Linked DNA regions of Canis lupus familiaris. The protein of the gene in region 2 binds, or shares a complex with, the protein of the main gene of each other region. Links are inferred from orthologs where the notes say so. Each region holds a gene or a part of one and is shown on either strand. Other genes may lie near its edges. The genes, in order: SIMC1 and SLF2.

Region 1 (3,817 bases), on a different chromosome or scaffold from region 2:
TCTGCCTTTGGCTCAGGTTATGATCCCAGAGTCCCGGGATCAAGTCCTGCCTCAGGCTCCCCACAGGGAGTCTCCTTCTTCCACTGCCTATGTCTCTGCCTCTCTCTCTGTGTCTTTCATAAATAAATAAATAAAATTTTTAAAGTCATAAACTACTTTGATTACTGATTATTTATATATGCCCTAATTTTTTCTTCTGAAAGTTTTTAGAATCCTCTTATTGCCCAGTATGCTTGTTGTAGGTCTATATTCACCCACTATACTGGGCATTCAGTCTAGAAACATCCTTCATTCCTAGAAAATAGAGTTTTTATGTCTGTTATCATGTTTTTAATTTCCAAGGACTTTTTAACTTTGTCTCTTATGTCCCCTTTTAAAATTTTTTTTTTAATTTTTATTTATTTATGATAAGCACACAGTGAGAGAGAGAGAGAGAGGCAGAGACATAGGCAGAGGGAGAAGCAGGCTCCATGCACCGGGAGCCCGATGTGGGATTCGATCCCGGGTCTCCAGGATCGCGCCCTGGGCCAAAGGCAGGCGCCAAACCGCTGCGCCACCCAGGGATCCCCCCCTTTTAAAATTAATAAAAAGTATTCTATTCTTGTTTTCTTCTTTCATGGACCCATACATTCTCATATCATTGATGATATTATGGCATTTGTTTTTGTTTATTTTCTGTATAGTCTTATTTTCTCCTAAATTGCTTTTTTAGGGGGAGAGGGGAGTTGGTCTTGGCTACTTTGACCTTTATTTATCTCTCATAATAGAATATTTCCATAAATGTCTGGTAAACCTTGGTAGTCTATCCAAGTTTAAGGGTGACAGACTCAACAGCTGATGGGAGTTCCGAGTACATGGGAGGAATTGTCATTTCTGCACTTCCCTGTAGGTGGAACTGACTGCCTATTTATTTATTTGTTTGTTTGTTTGTTTATTTTTTATTCATGAGAGACACACAGAGAGAGAGGCAGAGACACAGGCAGAGGGAGAAGCAGGGAGCTCCATGCAGGGAACCCGATGTGGGACTCCATCCCGGGTCTGCAGGATCACACCCCGGGCTGAAGGCGGCGCTAAACCGCTGAGCTACCCAGGCTGCCCACCATTTCTTAAAAAATACTTTGTCAATGTCTTCAGGTCTTTCCTGTTGGGCTGGAAAGGTTTTCCAGAGAACACTTCCTATTTTCTACATAAAGGATAAAGACTGGGATGCCAAGATTTTGAAAGACAAGTGTGGGAAAATAACAAGAGTCTCCGCGTCCAGCATGCATATGTTTATGTCATGCCCCTGTTGTGCTTTGATGCCCTTGCCTCCCAGCTGTGCCTGATATCCTAGTACAAAGACCCTCTGTTTTATCTCTGCAAGATGTTAACCTGTAGTTTAGGGTCTAAAATTTTCTTAAAGAGCTTACAAACCATTATGCTCATTTTCCCTTATATCCTTTAATTCTCACTTCGGAGAAGACTTACACTGCCATTTGCACAGCTTAGTGAAGATTCCTTTTTTTTTTTTTTCTTTTTTGGTAAATAGGATTAAATAGAATTGCTTTTCTCTATTGCTTTTGCTCTACTCTTCCTAAACCAGTTTTCTCAATTCTACTAAGTCAGTTAAAATCCATCCCTTTGGGCAGCCCGCGTGGCTCAGCAGTTTAGCACTGCCTTCAGCCCAGGGCCTGATCCTGGAGACCTGGAATCGAGTCCCACATCAGGCTCCCTGCATGGAGCCTGCTTCTCCCTCTGCCTGTGTCTCTGCCTCTCTCTGTGTGTGTCTCTCATGGATGAATAAATAAAATCTTTAGAAAAAGAATAAATAAAATAAAATCCATCCCTTTGCTAAAGTCAGATTAAGAATCATCCTTAAGCATCTCGGTGGCTAAGTGGTTGAACATCTGCCTTTCGCTCAGATTGTGATCCCAGAGTCCTGGGATCAAGTCCCACATGAGGCTCCCTGAAGGGAGCCTGCTTCTCCCTCTCCCATGTCTCTGCCTCTCTCTGTGTGTCTCTCATAAACAAATAAATAAAATCTTAAATTAAAAAAAAAAAGAATCATCCTTAAAGGGAAGGAGCACATGGGTAGCTCAGTTAGTTAAGCATTTGACTCTTGATTTTCAACTCAGGTCATGATCTCAGGTTTGTGAGATCAAGCCGCACATTGGGTTCCATGCTAGGCGTGGAGCCTGCTTACATTCTTTCTCTCCCTCTCCCTCTGTGCCGACCCTGACTTCTCTTCCTCTCTTAAAAAAGAAATCATCCTTAAAGCATGAGGGGCAACCCTGGTGGCTCAGCAGTTTAAGTGCCGCCTTCAGTCCAGGGCGTGATCCTGCAGACCCGGGATCGAGTCCCACATTGGGCTCCCTGCATGGAGCCTGCTTCTCCCTCTGCCTGTGTCTCTGCCTCTCTCTCTCTGTGTCTCTCATGAATAAATAAATAAAATCTTAAAAAAAAAAGCATGAATACACTTGCCTTATTTAGTTAATTGGTAACTTTTGATTTTATGATTAGCATCTCTTAATTGACTCCTCAAATCAAAGGCTGGGACCTTGACAATTACCTGCATCTAACCATGCATCCATCCCCCATCACCTACTTTTGCACCTTCCTGCACCCAAAGTGATCAACATATTGAATGTGCATCATTTCCTTTCCATTTTTATGTAATTTTATATCTAAAAATGTGTTCCTATACAGTATATTTTAGTTCCTTTCTGCTGTATATTAAAGGATATCATGCCATACATAATCTATTGGGACTTATTTTTCACTTTATATTATAGAGTACTAAGGTTTGTCCATACTGTTACTTATCACTGTAGCTTATTCATTTTCACTATGTAGTATTCTATTTTGTGAATATACTTCATTTCCCTTCCATCCTCTAAAATTTCACTGTTGTTGTCTCCTTTCCTTTCTTCCCATTCCTTGTGGATTTTTTAAAAGAATTATTTACTATAGCATCAGTGGGATTTTAGGAGGTAACAAAATTAGAAGTGTGTATTAAATCTACCATTTTTACCTGGGATACCTAAGTGATCATCAATAGTAATTTTGACTGTTTGAGATGGTTTTACCTTACTAACTTTTAGAGCCTTCACCCTGTATATAGTATGACTCTATTGCACATACTCTAAACCTCCGTTATTTGCATTAGTAGATGATACCTAATCCTAGAAAGCCAGCAAGGACCTGAGTGGTCATCCGGTCTGACTTTCCATCTGCTCCAGGAAATGTTCCTGGTCAGGAGGCCATGGATACTCTTTGACCTCAGAGGTACCTTTCAATAATCTCAGGAAAATGTCAATATTTCAGCTAGCTGTTATAAGCTTACTGCAATTAAATGTAGGGTTTCCATTAGACTTGTTTAAATATTGAAAATCACCTAAGATCCCTCTTCATTGCCTTTGGAGAAATCTAGGGGCTTCAGAGCCCAGGTTTAAGGCTGTGGTTTTGAGCACCATACAATAAGACAGAAGTTTAAATTTTTTTTGTTCTAATCTTTTTTCCATTGCAGGGATGTTATCAAGTGGTTGGTCAAAGTAGTAACTGAAGATGGATTAACTCAGCCCCCAAATGGGAATCAAACCTCTTCAGCAACAGGAATCTTGAAGGCCAGCAGTAACCATCCTTCTCCCCAGGCCAACCTGACAAAGAACACCAATCAGCTGTAAGGAGCAGGCACAAATTGTCTTTCCCAGGGCTGTTGGGATTTATTGCAGTAAAGAACAGCAGTATTCCTAAAAGAAGTTTCCACAAAATTAACAGGCTCTTGAAACATAGGCTGATTCTTACTAAAGACTGGCTTAGTTTGTCTAAATTCTATGCC
Region 2 (3,917 bases):
CCTATTGCTTGGTATCTCCAATGACTGGTACAAAATAATGCTCAATAGATGTTTGCTGAATGAATAAACAGAGATTATAAAAACTGAGTAAAACCTAAACAGATTCATAACAAGAGCAGATGACAGAATGGCAATATCAGTGATTGGGCCTATCTAGGGAGGCAGCTGAATTGAAGTGCATGCTGGCCAAAAGACAGAAAGGATCAAGTGCCAAGCCTGTATTATCTTCTTTGTACACTACAGTATGATGTTAATCTAAGTTAAACAGCAGAAATTAGAATGAGTCTTCACAACTAGTGTTTCAAAATCTTAACTTTTATATAAAAATTCTTAAGATATTTGCAAAAATAACATATTGCCTAGGGAAAACACAAAACAAGAGAAAAGGAAGAAAGTGAACAATTACAAAAACCAACTGTTTTAATTTTTAAGGATATCTGTACCTTACAGTAACACAAAAGTGAACCATATTACCAGAATTTGTATTCGGATTGATGTATTTAGAATTGTCAGCTGCATAAGGAGGAATGTCATCATATGTAGAGTAAAAAATTAACTTCCTGGCAAAATTCTGGTAAAACATATTCATTTTACTTAAAGAGAAGCAGTACACTATCAGTTTCCCTAAACAATTATCCACAGTGAGGTTGGAATGCTCAGACAAAACTTGAACAATCCCAGTCCTTTGTATGCTTCACAGGTCACATAAGAAGAGCAACACCCATCTTTAATGGTTTACTAAGAGTCCACAATGTTTGTGAGATGTTGGTAGAAAAGCTAACTGGTTATGAAACGAGTATCAGTGCCAGACTAAGGAAGAATCTATGCATTTGTTTTTATAAATCTAAAAAAATCAATGCCACAGGAGAATAAAGGAAGAAATGCTAGAGGTTCTGCAAACTGGTAAAGGACGATGCCTTCCATTACTGGTTGAGGAAAGAGATGGGAACGGATTAAGAAGTGGCTAATTCAAAAGAACACTAAATATGCTTTTACAGTAATTACTAAAAGAAAGTATATTATATCTTAAAATTTTAGATCCCAGGCTCCTTTTCGAGTAATACACCAGAGGGAAAATGGTTTTGGGTAAAACATACAAGAAACCTGTAAAATAACCATGAATGTAACTTTCAAGTAGGAACAGTTCTCTAATTTCATATGCACAGAAATGTCCATTAGTTATTTATAACTAGCTCTTTAAAATTATAACAGCTCACAAGCCCTTACCTGAAAATTTGGGGTCAAATGTTTTTGAATTTGAATTTACTGGATTTTAGAAAGGGGGTAACTCGGATGCATTACATAAAGCCCCCAGTGGGGTCTGACACTGCACCCCGAAGCATACACCAATATTTCTCCAGCAAAGCTTACAAATACACTCAGTGTGATAAAGCCCATATATAGTCTTCCATTACTTCTAGTCAGATTTGGCTGCCAAGTAAGATGTGGTGCCAAACTTACTGAAAACTTTTGATTTTCATAGCATCCTGGCTTCCACAATTAAGATAAGGGATTGTGGACCTGTACCACAACATTAGAAGATAAACTTACTGTGACACTTAAGTTACAAGCTTTTTAAAACTTAAAATAAAAAAGACAGTACCAAGTGCGTAGAGAATTTAAACATCTTTTATTGTCAGAGGATGTCATTTGATAAAACTCCCCATCTCGTTACAAAGCTCCCACAAAATCTTCACAAAAAAATCTAGCCTCTTGGAGAGGCGGAAAGCTGCCGAGGAAAAAACATATCACATTCCAAATCTGCATGTTCTTTAAGTATGAATTATCGTGCATACTGGACTATTAAGTAATTAATGGAAGGGTCTCCCTCGTCACATCGTACACAATTCCACCCACAATTTAGAAAAGATTTTAGACTATTATGCTACTCCGATTAGCAGAACTGAACGTACAAAAAAACCACCTCAATATGCACTTAGCAGTTAGGGCCCCGGGTCCAGCTCTCGGAAAGGACAAAAATCACGGTCTACCTAAGGCGGGTTCTCCGTAGCCACCCAGGCTGTGGTCCCTACACCGAGACCTGCGTCCCAACTACAGAAAAAGAAACTCGAAGTCCCAGAAGCCCCCGCGCGGAGGCGGGGCAGGGGTTTGCCAGGCCCCGGAACGCCGAGGCCTGAGCTCGCGGAGGATGGCGGGAACTGAAAGAGCGGGCGTCCGCAGTCCTCCCTCATACCCTTGCCCCCGCGACCCGGCCCCTTCTCCAACCCTCTGCACGGTACCTGTCCCCAGGACTCTTTGTTCTCTTTCCCGCTGCAGCAGGGGCGGTACTACCGGGTCTCAGATGGCAGCGCGGGGGCGACGACCCCGGGGCTGGGGATGAGGGGAAACCTGGCCTAGCGGGCATGCAGCGCCTTGTCATGTCGGCGCCGCTGGCGACGGCGGCATGAGCTGTGGCTGGAGAAGTTGGGTGCGTGGTTGCCGTCTTGCTGCTGGGACTCGGGGAGGCTGTCGGAGCAGAGTTGGGCGGCACCCCCTTCTCTCTTCATGGCGGTTCTCTCTCTTCGGAAGTGACTCCTGTGTGAGCGGGAAGGAACCTGAGGACCAACAGGGGGCGGGTCTTACTTGAAGGGTCGCACTCTGACTGGCTGCCGCGCCGGTCTTTCCAGTAGTGGAGCAATAGAAAGCGGCAGCCTCTCGGGAGAAGGCGGGGCTTCGAGAAGGGGAGGGGGTAGGAAAACTGCCCCCCCCGTCACGTGCGCGGCGGGGGGTGGGGGGGGGAAGCGCACAGTCGCATCCGGGCCGCGTCGGCCTCGGCAGGCACGCGGGGGCGAACCGGCGCGGGCGGCTGCGGGCGCTGCGGCAGCTGGCGACAGCCGCCTGTTCGAGGACGAAGGTCGAGGTTTGCAGAAGCAAACCCGAGCCCGGCAGCTGCCCTCAGTGAGGATGGCCAACGGTTGGGCTTCCTGTGTCCTACAATTGTGCCTCAGAAATCCCCAGCTGCTCATTGCATCGTCTCTTTAACATCTTAGGCCAAAGTGCCCTGATGCTGTCACCATTTCCTTGGTAATCTGCACAGCCCGATCTGAAGTCTTGTCCATTCTGTGAGAGTTCTTGTTAACGTGTTGTGGTGGGTGCTTTTTCTCTTAAGGGGGAAAAAACCCCACTGAAATAGAGGCTGTTTTTCTTCCACAGAAGCATTTTCTCAGCTGTTGAAATGAGTTATCCATGAAGTCTGCAACCCGATTCCTTGGAGATTTTTGAAAGGAACATAGGGTCAGCTTTCAATTACCCATGTTAAGTGTGGACAGCATAGATTAGTGAAAGCTGCCAGCAATCTCCAAATCTCCTTTGTAATGGGCTTGTGAGTTGGAGGCTGTCAGCCAGGGTTTTTCTTACAAATGGAGACTGGTCAGAATATTTCTGAGCCTCAATTTCTACATCTATAAAATGGCTATTCTACTTTTCTGGGAAATTGTAAACTATAAGATAAGCAGTGTAAACTTCACAGTTTGGAGTCTGTCGTTTAATAAGTATTGAGCAAATTAGCGTTCCTTTTCCTTTGCTCTTTAGACCTACTCTTACATACTTTACTATAAAATCTCCCAGAGACAGATCAGATATTGACATCTTATATACACAGACATATAATATATGTAATATACTAATTGTTGTAATGTACTGTTATGACGTATATGTCAAACCAAAATACCAATCTTCAAGATGTCCAAGCTTTGATTGGCAGGCCTGTTCAATCACCTGGGTGGAAGAAAATCTCAAATGACAGAAAAGAATTTAGGTCTTTAGATAGTTTATTGTACTGAGATTTGACTGCCTCTGTAGCTAAGTAAGGCTGACTGACCTGAGGTTCACCTCTTTTCCTTTCTGTTTAGCCCTTAGGAGGAAGAATTAATGAGGAATAAAAATGGCCCACAAAGTTGTGAAGTATAGGGTAAAAG

Evidence for each region.
Region 1: the proteins of SLF2 (region 2) and SIMC1 are in contact, whole or in part, in a cryo-EM structure (PDB 7T5P), measured with the Homo sapiens proteins. The link is inferred for Canis lupus familiaris from reciprocal best matches to the Homo sapiens genes SLF2 and SIMC1. Residues at the interface, in NP_060591.3 of Homo sapiens: His738, Val772, Leu775, Lys778, Asp783, Phe786, Gln790, Gly791, Phe792, Thr794, Ser795, Ala796, Tyr797, His798, Tyr799, Cys820, Ile821, Gln825, Ser828, Met831, Glu832, Ile835, Arg836, Asp838, Thr839, Ser841, Asp842, Ser843, Pro847, Lys919; in NP_001295125.1 of Homo sapiens: Tyr426, Arg428, Leu431, Lys435, Leu438, Pro440, Val442, His443, His444, Leu445, Phe447, Gln448, Arg470, Arg471, Phe490, Asp493, Pro497, Val521, Asp522, Lys525, Glu526, Tyr528, Met529, Met532, Lys533, Gln536, Leu537, Arg571, Asn658, Gln661.

Annotation. Positions count from the first base shown.
Region 1 is NC_049225.1:37,895,377-37,899,193, reverse strand, and holds part of SIMC1 (SUMO-interacting motif-containing protein 1), read left to right. Parts: intron 1-3,505; coding exon 3,506-3,658; intron 3,659-3,817.
Region 2 is NC_049249.1:13,791,166-13,795,082, reverse strand, and holds the start of SLF2 (SMC5-SMC6 complex localization factor protein 2), read right to left. Parts: upstream 2,551-3,917; 5' UTR 2,381-2,550; coding exon 2,241-2,380; coding exon of another isoform or gene 2,189-2,240; exon of another isoform or gene 1,612-2,188; intron 1-1,611. UniProt on the Homo sapiens protein: Plays a role in the DNA damage response (DDR) pathway by regulating postreplication repair of UV-damaged DNA and genomic stability maintenance.